Linked DNA regions of Caenorhabditis elegans. The protein of the gene in region 2 interacts with the protein of the main gene of each other region in a pairwise test. Each region holds a gene or a part of one and is shown on either strand. Other genes may lie near its edges.

The links.
Region 1: the proteins of Y71G12B.27 (region 2) and asna-1 interact in a two-hybrid assay, tested with the Caenorhabditis elegans proteins (one large-scale study listed by BioGRID).
Region 3: the proteins of Y71G12B.27 (region 2) and mmcm-1 interact in a two-hybrid assay, tested with the Caenorhabditis elegans proteins (one large-scale study listed by BioGRID).

Annotation. Positions count from the first base shown.
Region 1 is NC_003281.10:8,893,110-8,896,864, reverse strand, and holds asna-1 (ATPase asna-1), read right to left. Parts: upstream 1,784-3,755; 5' UTR 1,777-1,783; coding exon 1,343-1,776; intron 1,295-1,342; coding exon 1,036-1,294; intron 828-1,035; coding exon 618-827; intron 490-617; coding exon 364-489; 3' UTR 211-363; downstream 1-210. Other genes in the region: ZK637.4 (uncharacterized protein), read right to left, coding at 2,209-2,305, 2,361-2,414, 2,464-2,531, 2,584-2,652; lnkn-1 (Protein linkin), read right to left, coding at 2,990-3,121, 3,428-3,589, 3,648-3,755. UniProt on the Caenorhabditis elegans protein: ATPase required for the post-translational delivery of tail-anchored (TA) proteins to the endoplasmic reticulum. Recognizes and selectively binds the transmembrane domain of TA proteins in the cytosol.
Region 2 is NC_003279.8:1,796,886-1,800,640, reverse strand, and holds Y71G12B.27 (Cyclin-dependent kinases regulatory subunit), read left to right. Parts: upstream 1-1,918; 5' UTR 1,919-1,995; coding exon 1,996-2,139; intron 2,140-2,989; coding exon 2,990-3,202; 3' UTR 3,203-3,206; downstream 3,207-3,755. Other genes in the region: Y71G12B.5 (Apolipophorin), read right to left, coding at 726-924.
Region 3 is NC_003281.10:3,905,835-3,909,589, reverse strand, and holds the start of mmcm-1 (putative methylmalonyl-CoA mutase, mitochondrial), read left to right. Parts: upstream 1-1,902; 5' UTR 1,903-1,930; coding exon 1,931-2,340; intron 2,341-3,053; coding exon 3,054-3,702; intron 3,703-3,746; coding exon 3,747-3,755. Other genes in the region: Integrin beta pat-3, read left to right, coding at 1-136, 190-261. UniProt on the Caenorhabditis elegans protein: Involved, in man, in the degradation of several amino acids, odd-chain fatty acids and cholesterol via propionyl-CoA to the tricarboxylic acid cycle. MCM has different functions in other species.

The DNA.
Region 1 (3,755 bases), on a different chromosome or scaffold from region 2:
GTAAGTGTCGGATGAAGTCTAGCAGTCGGAAAAATGTACTGCTTGGTCCCATGACCTGTCGGCTGCCTAATACTAGGTACTATTTGAAAGAAATTACGTCTAAAATCTAGCTAATTAAAATGATTACTTGACAAAAATAGTTTGCCAGGCTGAAGTTTGAAAGATAATTATGTTCCAAATATACTTCAATCCTAAGTAAAAAACAATGAATATCATAAATTATTCATTTGATTCGAAAAAGGCACCCACAATAAAGCGAGAAATAAGGGGACAGGGAATTTTGGAGAAAAAACATGGGATAGGAAGAATCTTTTAACATAAAAAACCACAGAACAAGTTGATTTTGTAGGAGAACAAATTAGTTTAGTTTTTGTTAGCTTCAGGATCCACCATCCGTTCGCTGAACTGAAGAATTGCGGGCCCTCCACGCACTTCTGCCTCAAGAAGTGGAAGTTTGACGACGTGGAAATCCTCGTAGAGCTCATCGATCTGGAAAAATTGATTTATTCCGCATCTAGCAAATCACGACAGAGTCAAAAATGCACTGTGGTTATTCAATATTAATTTGCTCAAAGTTTCTAATTTAATAATTTATCAAACTTCTCATTTAAACTCACATCTGTCAAGTATTTCGACTGAATCGCCTGTCTCGATGCACATTTTCTGCATGAAACTGTTCCATTTGCATCGGTATCCGGAAAGAGAAGTTGATTCACAATAATATTATGAGTATCGATTCCTTGTTTGGACAACTCCTGAATAAGTCGTTCGGTTTCGTAAAGAGAGAGGAATTCGGCAATGCAGACGCAGACGAATGTGGTGCAATTCTGTAAATACATATTTGAATGCTCTGCAGAAACTTTGATGATTTAAAATCTCTGAATTCAATATATATCAAGCTAGAATTTACCCTTGATATAATTGAAAAGGTTAAAAAAACATATTACCAAGATGCAGAATTTTACGACAATTTTCGCGTCTGGGTGATATATCTCCGTAGTAATTTTAAATATCACTTGAATCTGAAAAACTAACAGGATCCTTAAACTGTGCGTTCATCTTTTTCACAGATTCTAGAGTCGTTGTCATCTTTTCAATCATTTCATTCATTGATCCACCTCCCATTCCAAACATTCCACCGAATTGATTCATCATTGGTCCAAACATTCCTTGAAGTGACAGAATTTTCGTAAATACTTTTTCCAAAAGTGTTGGGAATTGAAGAAGACGAAGAGTGTGCCCAGTTGGAGCGGTGTCAAAGACCACAACGTCGAAGTCAAGAGAGTCTATCAACCTGAAAAAAATAATAGATTTTTTAAAAATCAGAATCATTGACACTCACTTTATCATTTCCCCGAAACTCATTGCCTCATCAATCCCAGGAAGTCCTCCAGCAAAACTTTGAAGAAAATCTTTTCCCATCGAGAATCCACCGCTTCCACCTTCGTTTTGTGCAGCATTTTGCAGCATTTCTTCGATATTCCCCATTTCGACGCCTTCTCCGTTCGGATTTGAATCGATTTCCATTGCAAAGAGATTTTTGAAACCTTCGACCAGTGTTGGAGTTTTTGTGAATTTCTGACTGAAGGCATCAGAAATGTTGTGGGCGGGATCGGTGGAGATGAGAAGAACTCTCTCACGAACTTTTGAGAGTTGAGCTGCCAATGAGCAACTGCATGTCGTCTTTCCGACACCTCCCTTTCCACCCACAAAAATCCATTTTAGCGTTTTTTGTTCGAGAATATTCTTGATAGAGGCTTCCAGCTGATCCGACATTATTTCTGAAAAAAAAAGAAGTTTTAGGTTTATTTGCATTTAAAGTTTGAAATTTTAAAAAGAAATGTCTAGCCTTTTGCAGTTTTTTTAATTTTTCAAGTAAAAATGGATACAAATTTTTATTGTTTTTCTACAGTGTTTTCTCGACTTGATAGGAGTTAAGTTCTTTAATAAATAACTTTTTTGATTCGATTATGAAAATTCCGAAAGTGTTTATTACAGTACTCCAAAGGCGCACAACTTTCTGCATTTAACAAAATTTTCTCGGGGCGAGACCCAGGTTACAAAACCTCAACATTTTATGTCTGGGTAATATTTTTTTTTGGAGAACTGAAGAAATAATAATAAGGTAATAGAAAACCATTAGAACACGGATAAAACTTGAAAAAAATGAAATAATTTCTAAAACTTTATTAAATAAAAATCGAAAAATCATTCGGACGGTTGTTTCTGTGAAATGTGAATTAGACGATCATCGATATGAACTGGTTCGGAGCTCGGAGTCACTTGCACACCACTGGCCTTCAATCTGAAAAAAATGAATGTGGGTTCCATGTCATTGCAACGATTTTCCGATGTAATACCTCAATTTTCGATTGTCCCAAAGGCAATCCGGCATCGGGTAAGACAGAAGATACCTGAAAATATTGAGTTTTTTATGAGAATTTTCCATAAAATGAAACTTACAGTTTCAATGGCGCAATGTAATAATCCAAAAACTCCAGAATTCGCTCTTTCAGACTGTTGTTTGGAACCTGAAATTGGAAACTTTTTGTTAAAGTTAACAAAAATTTGAAGAAAACTCACATATTTCGGCGAATATTTGCTCTGCCGCTCCACGTCATTCATTAGAAAATATTTTGGATTTGACTTCATTAGGAAAAAATTCAAAAAGTTTTATTTTAATAGTTCGTCAAAAAAACGAAAAAGTCTCTGTTCAGTTTATAAAGAGAGTGATGGAGGGTAAGGGGTCACGTGGAATAAATATTACAGTTGTTTTCAAATAATGTTTCTATTTTCAAACAAGGAAAACTCGGATTTAAAGCTGATCTCTAAAAATACTCCGACGTGCAATCACAGCTCGAAATGGGAAATCTAAACACAGGATGAAGCTTCAAAAGGTCAAATATGCAAAAAAAGAGACAAATGATGGGAACCCGTAAAAAACGATCTCGTCTTCAAGAAGATATGATCTTAAAATTCACAAAAAAATCTACATGGCATCGAAATGGAATCGATGAGATTGTTGTTGTCGTTCGTATCGATCTTCCTTTTTCTCTCGATAATGTAAGAATACGACAACCATTAGAAGCATACAGCATACGAGAGCAATGACGGCAAGACTCTGGAAAATGAGAATATCGATTTATTATAGAGACGTGGAAATGTGCCCCATGGCCAACTGACTACGCTCCGCCCCCGAGCCATGGGTCTCGTTAGTTATTTGGCAGCAAACCCGTGAATTCAACGAATTCGTATTTGCAACCATTTTGAAATGTTTTTCGTTAGTTTTAATGATTTTTATGCCGAAATTATGTTTAAAGAATGCATTAAAAATGAAAAGTTTTTTTCTTTTATTTTTTAATTTTATTTTATCAATTTCCGTCGTTCCCATTTGGAGCGTATGTCCACGTCTCCATAATAATCTTACCTGAACAATAAGAGCTGATGGTGTGACGTAGAGCCGACTCGTCCAGTGTGGATATTGATCCGATGGTGGGAGAACAATAATCCGAGAATTTGGAACAATCTGTTTAAGACTGTGTTTCCAATCTTCTTTACGATCTGCGTATTTCGGAATGGCAATATTCAACTGAAAAAAAGATTATTTGGAATAATTGAACGAAAATATCTAGAAGATATGAAATTACCTCATCCACAAAATTTGGACTTCTTCCAAGACCATACAACAAAAATGGGAGATAAAGTGCTCTATTTGATGAAGCCGGAACTTGACATGCTACACTCTGTGTACTACC
Region 2 (3,755 bases):
CTTGAATAACCCCATTACGGAGGGATTCACAATAGAGATTAGGCTAGTGGTACATCCATACATATGCGCTCTACTGATAATTTGAGTTTAACCAGGTTTGGGCGAGTTTTAAAAAAAAGTTTTGGTCCAAAAAATGTAGAATTTATTATCGGACATTTTTTTACATGCACCAAAAAATGTTCGACCAGCCGTTTTTGAGGAAAAAAAACCCGCCCAAACTTCCAGGTATACGGTAGACAAATTACGTACAGGCCCCCCTTCTCGGGTCGTGTTAGGGCTCCCAGCAGAGTGAGGCGCGAAATGCGGGCCTCACGCCGACCTCCGCGCACCGATGTGTGTATGCAACGAAGTGCGAAGGGTAGTTATTTGGAGCGGCCGACAAGTTCGGGGTTCCGCAGCTTGGCGTGAAACGAGTAGCTTGGTGTGTGCAGTGCACAACGTAGTTCGAAACTGTGGTTGGCGGCCGACAAGTTCGGGGTTCCGTGCCGCACTATACATTCGGATACATGCGGCGTGAGTGACGCCGACACCGTGAGGCCGGCGCGGCTACCGCTGAGGTCGGCGCGGGACTCGTTGCGGCGACCTCATGGGAGCCCTAACAGAGATGTTAAATTGTTTCAAAATAGCACCGAAACTACTTAATTATAACTTTGCGAGAGCTTACAGATCATTCAAGAATCCCGTCAATTTTTCAACATCTTAAGGAAATTGCCTAAAACACTCACCCTTGTCATATTTTCCCTTGCATCCTTGAAACGAGAACCCATCGGAAAATAGTGTAGCAATCCGGGAAGCATCTCTAGTAGCAATTTCATCTGACACTTTGCTCAAAAACTCCTTGACAGTGGTCTCGGATCCATCGGCGAGTCCATGAATAGTTCTGAAGAGAAGAAAAACGAGAAGAAAATAATTTGTCAGCCACATATTGTGAGGCGACTATCTGCGGAAAAGACGGGATGGTGGGCTCCTTTTAAGCGACAAGATGGGCGGTATGATCGTTATGAATAATCGAATTATTGGAGGGACGGGAATTGGGAATTGTTGCGGGGGACGACACGTCAGCACAGGGAATCGAAAATCAAATTTGGAAAGATGGGAAAAAAATCAAGAAATCTGCAAAATTCGTAGAAGAAAGATGAAAGTGTGGGGAGCTTTTAGATTCGGTAATGTGTATTTTCTATAGAATCCCCCAAAGTTTCGAGTTTTGACATTTTTCATAAAAATTTGATAATGCCAATCGATTTCAATTGTTAAAAAAAAGCAAAAGTTGTATTTTTCAAAAATTCAAAAGTACTGAAAAATCATATGAAGTGCTTCTTTTTTCTTTTATAATACTGTTCAGCATGATCAGAAATACCAGAAAATACTAAAAAAAAGTATGCTAGTCAATCCGGAACATATTTTAAAAAATTGCACAATTTGACCAAAAGCTGTATTTTTCAAAAATTCAAAAGTACGCCAAAATCATATGAAGTGCTTCTTTTTTCTTTTATATTACTGTTCAGCATGATCAGAAATACCAGAAAGTATCAAAAAGAGTATGCTAGCTTGACCGGAAGATTATTTTGAAAAATTGCAAAATTTAGTTAAAATCTATTTTTTCAAAAATTCAAAAGTACTGAAAAACCATATGAAGCGATTCTTTTTTCTTTCATAAAACTGAAAAATAAATGAAGTAAATAAAACGATGCAAGCGCGCTCCAATGCGAATTTGAAAAAATTATGCGGGGGCACAAATGAAATTCGGCGATTTCAAGCTCAAATATAAAATCAGGGATTTTTTTGTTGAATTTTTTTTACATCGATATTCGGAATACTCCACGTGATTTGTAAAATAAATACAACATTTCAGAATTTAAAAAAAAAGAATTGTCCACGTAACCTTGCCCCCCCCCCTCTTCCTAATTGTTCCAACAACATTTCCAAAACTCCTCAACAATCATTCATTCCCTACTTGTCGTACAATTAACATCGAAGAATAAGAGTTTTTGAAAAATGGAAGATATCTACTATTCGCCACGTTACGAAGATGATGAATACGAATATCGCCACGTCATTCTTCCGCAAGCCGTCTCGAGAAAAGTGCCAAAGGGAAGACTTCTTAGTGAGGCTGAATGGAGACGTGCTGGAGTTCAACAGGTATATTTTCAATTAAGTGATATGTTAAGATTTTAGGAAAAAAATCGATAATTAAAAAAAATAGATTTTTCCAAAAATCGATAATTCACAAAATTGATATTTTGAAAAAGCCAATATTTTAAAATATTTTTTATTAAATTAAGCAAGGCTCCCAGCCGAGTGAGGTGCGAAATGTGGGCCTTACGCCGGCCCGATAATTTAATTGCCGGTTTGCTGATTTGCCGGAAATTCTCATGTTCGGCAAATTGCCGGTTTGCCGATTTTCCAGAAATTTTCAATTCCGGCTATGTGCCGGTTTGCCGATTTGCCAGACATTTTCAATTCCGGCTATGTGCCGGTTTGCCGATTTGCCAGACATTTTCAATTCCGGCTATGTGCCGGTTTGCCGATTTGCCAGACATTTTCAATTCCGGCTATGTGCCGATTTGCCGATTTGCCAGGAACTTTCAATTCCGGCAATTTGCCGGTTAGCCGACTTGCCAGAAATTTTCAATTCCGGCAATTTGCCAGAAATTTTCAATTCCGGCAGTTTGCCGATTTGCCGATTTCCAGAAATTTTAAACTTCGGCAATTTGCCGGTTTTTTGATTTGCCAGAAATTTTCAATTCCGGCTATGTGTCGGTTTGCCGATTTGCCAGAAATTTTCAATTCCGGCAATTGGCCGGCTTACCGATTTGCCCGAAATTTTCAATTCCGGCAATTTGCCTTTAATGAAAATTTGTTTTAAATAAACATTAATATGTTGATAGAATCGATATTTCAAGAAAACCGATAGTCATAAAATCGACGAAAAAAAATCAATATTAAATTTCTGAATGTGGCCGAATTATTGATTTTTCATACTTTTCAGTCACTTGGATGGGAGCACTACATGGTTCATAACCCGGAGAAGCACATTCTCTTGTTCCGTCGGAAGCGCCATTTCACAAAAGCCGACGAGGAGCGTGCCAAAATGGAATTGTTGAGAGATATGGAAGTGTTCAATAGAGCGCAACAGCAAACGACAGCAACCGATGAGAAATTGAACGCGGTTTTCTATGAATTTGTGAATAAAGCAGTGTAGATATTTTGTAAGACTTTGGGCTTCCATGGGTGAGCGGCGGTGCGTCTCGCGCCGGCCGGCCATCGCCGCTGTTATTTGGAAGCGTCCGACACGTTCGGGGTTCCGCGCCGCACTATACATGACTGAGGCGTCTCGCTGGTCGGCGAAGGCGCCTCGCCGGCGCAGGAATGGAAGCCCTAGTAATACCGTATGTTCAATTAAAAAGCGCCGAAAATCGATATATTACAAAAGTTGCTTTTTAAAAAATCGATATTTTGGGAAATCGATATTTCGACAAAAATCAATATTAAATGAAAATCGAAGTCATAAAAATCAATATTTTGCAACAAAACCCGTATAGAATAAAAATCTCGGCCGCCATAAAAACGAAGCATAAAGATTTTTATTTCAAATTTTATGTTAACAAAAATTACAAATTTGTTTTGAACGTAGAGTACACCAGGGGCCGGCAATTCCCGTTCGGCAATTTTTTTTGTCCACAAATTCGGAAAGTCGGCAAATTGCCAGTTTGCCGATTTGCCGGAAATTGTCATTTTCGGCAATTTGCCGGGTT
Region 3 (3,755 bases), on a different chromosome or scaffold from region 2:
TGTGCTCGGAGTCATTGCGGGTATCGTAATCCTCGGAATTCTTCTCTTGTTGCTCTGGAAATTGCTCACAGTACTTCATGATAGATCCGAATACGCTACTTTCAATAACGAAAGGCTTATGGCCAAATGGGATACGGTAAGTGACACGGAACAAAAAACATATAAATTTATCAAATTATCATTTTTCAGAACGAGAACCCAATCTACAAACAGGCCACGACAACATTTAAAAATCCAGTATACGCTGGAAAAGCCAACTAAATAGTTTTTATCCTTATATTTTAATAATTTTCCCAAATTTTCTAATATGAAAGCTCAATTTCTCCATCCAAACAACTCGAAACGAGTATTTAGCGATAAATTGTCACATTCTTCTTTGTTTTATTCAAAAAATCTCCATTTTTTTGTTTTTTTTTCCTTCATCAATTGTTCATCACACTGCTTTTACCCCATTCTAAATACGGATTTTTTTCTTCCTTCTCTATATATTGACTTGCTTTATATTCATCTTTCATTGCCTTTTGTCCCTCTTAACACCGACCAACAACTCACACACTTCTTGTACTATTTCCAATTTTCAATGGTGCTTTTATTTTTGAACTATCTTGTTCGAATTTTTCATGTAATATTAATTTTATATGAAAAAAATCTGAAAAATTAATTTTTTGTCTTTTTAATTTTTGGTTGAAACTGATATTAGCCATAACTATCTGAGAAGACATGTTAAATAATATTTTTAAATTATAAAAAGGAAAAAAAATTGCGCGTAAAGTGAGGAGCTTGGTGTTTGCATCCAAGTGCACAGAAAGCATTCAACTTGACGACAATTTTTTATTTCTTTTAATTTCTTTAAATTTTTTCGTTTAAAATTGGAATTCTTTTTATCCTATTTACCGTGTGGATTTTCAATTTTTCAGTTTAGAAGATTCCCAAAAGTTCGAAAAGTTTCAAGTATTTGACCCGAAGTGGTTTGACAACTGTTATTAAGCCTGATTAATTTATTTTTTGCATATCAACCGATTTAAAATTTAGTATTTACCACTTAAAAACGCTAGAGACTACAATAATCAAATATCTGACCCTCCTTCAAAGAATAAACAAGTTTTTTTTGACGTGAATTGTAGGATTGAAAAAAGAAAGATAGAGAAGTGACTAGACTTTTCTTAAATACGCACAAAAATGAGAGAGCGCAGAGATAAATGCTACTTTCAGTTTTGCACGCAGACACAGAGTCAGTTGTTGTTCCCCGAGTGTCCTCTGCGGCTTTTTATGCTAAATCAATGTTTCTTTTCGATAATTTTCAGTTTTACTTAAATAATTCGAAAGTTCTCTAATATTATTGTTTAAAATTTCAATTAAAAAACCGCCCATCTTCATTTTTGCGCTTGTTTACGATCTGTCAAGAGATTGACGGCGACTACAAGGTCTTTATTGTTTTATTTTTTGCTTTCTAAATTAGAATTTAAAAAAATAATAAGTTTTTCGAAGTAGTTTCTAGATTAGGGCGTATAATTGTTGAAAAAAAAAACACAATTCATAATCTATTTAATTTCAGTTTCACTGGATTTTTAAAAGCTGAAAGTCAAAACTGAAGGATTTTTCAAATTAACAAATCATTTTTTTTTCATTCTTCTAGCTCAATACGTGCCAAACGATTAGATCTTTTCAAATTTCACATTTTCTTTCTCTGGCCTATCTGTTCCACAGCGATTTCGTTGTTTTTGACAAAACTCGACAGCAGTGATCGGTTTTTTGGTCACATCGAAGGACTTGTGACACAAAAATTAGTTTTTATTTTTGTTAGTTTTAGTTTCGAAAACATAAATCAATTTTGCAAAACGTTCTCTCATGATTGTCTTCTTGAGTTTTTATATTATTTCCTTCGATAATATCAATTTCCAGATCATCACTGCCTTTCCACAAAGGCAAGATGTATCTTCAACTACTGAAACCCACACTTCTCCGATGCTCAACCCGTCCATCTTCTTCCGGAGCTTACACCCGCTCCCCAATCGATCAAAAATGGGCTGCCATGGCAAAAAAGGCGATGAAAGGCCGTGAAGCGGACACTTTGACATGGAATACCCCTGAAGGAATTCCAATCAAGCCACTTTATTTGAGATCTGATAGAGATTGTGATGCTCAAAGATCTGTTGAACTTCCCGGTCAATTCCCATTCACTAGAGGACCATATCCAACAATGTATACTCAACGGCCATGGACTATCAGACAATACGCTGGATTTTCGACTGTTGAAGAGTCGAATAAGTTCTATAAGGAGAATATTAAAGCAGGGCAGCAAGGACTTTCAGTTGCATTTGATTTGGCCACTCATAGAGGGTTTGTTTAAAAAAATCGATATGAAATACTCAAAATGGTCCCAAAAGTAGCCTAATCCAGCTAAATTCTCTAATTTTGTCAACTTTTCCTTGTTTCAGTTCTCGATTAATTTCAAATTAGTAAATTGTTATTTTTGGAACCAAAATGCAGTTTTTAACAAAAAACAATTAAATTAAAAATTGGTGAAATTCTAGAAAACTCAATGGAAAAAGAAGACGACTTTCGGTTGTTTCGAGCATTTTCCATCGAGTTTTCTCGAACTCAGCCAATTTTCTGTGGGTTTTTTTTGTTAAAAACTGCATTTTGGTTCCAGAATGAACAATTTATTAATTTAAAATCTTAAAAAAATTACAAAAAATCGCTGAAACAGAAAAAAAGTTGACAAAACTAGAGAATTTAGCTGGATATACTCCAACCAGCCGTGGATCGCACCTACGGCGCGGCCCACGACTTTTTTGAGAAAACACATTAGATATACGATGTCTATCGCGGACCTCGATCGATGTCTGCTGCGCATTTAGCATAAGGTTTCCCAAAATTTCGTTGCTCTGATCAGAGATCAAACTACATAGTGACGGAACGACACGCGCTTTATATGTAGTAAATTGATTGATTTTGAAATATTGAACCTGCGACAAAATTAATAAAAGTAGGTCTTTTGGGGTCATTATAACTTTTCAATAAATCATTTTTCTAAATCTAAAAATTTCCAGCTACGATTCTGACAATCCGCGTGTATTCGGAGACGTCGGAATGGCCGGTGTTGCTGTGGATTCAGTTGAAGATATGCGTCAACTGTTCGATGGAATTAATCTCGAAAAAATGTCAGTTTCAATGACAATGAACGGAGCTGTCGTTCCAGTACTTGCCATGTATGTTGTAGCTGCCGAAGAAGCTGGAGTCAGTAGGAAGCTGTTGGCTGGAACGATTCAAAATGATATTCTCAAAGAATTTATGGTCAGAAATACGTACATTTATCCACCAGAGCCATCGATGAGAATCATTGGAGACATCTTTGCATACACTTCTCGTGAAATGCCAAAATTCAATTCGATCTCAATTTCTGGATATCATATGCAAGAAGCTGGAGCTGATGCTGTTCTTGAGATGGCTTTTACAATTGCAGATGGAATTCAATACTGTGAGACTGGACTAAATGCTGGACTTACTATTGATGCATTTGCTCCGCGTCTCTCATTCTTTTGGGGTATATCTATGAATTTCTACATGGAAATCGCAAAGATGAGAGCTGCCCGTCGCCTTTGGGCTAATCTGATTAAAGAGAGATTCTCACCAAAAAGTGATAAGAGTATGATGTTGAGAACACATTCACAGACTTCTGGATGGTCATTGACTGAGCAGGTTCGGAGTTCTCATAAAAAAATAAAATAAAATATTATTTCCAGGATCCATAC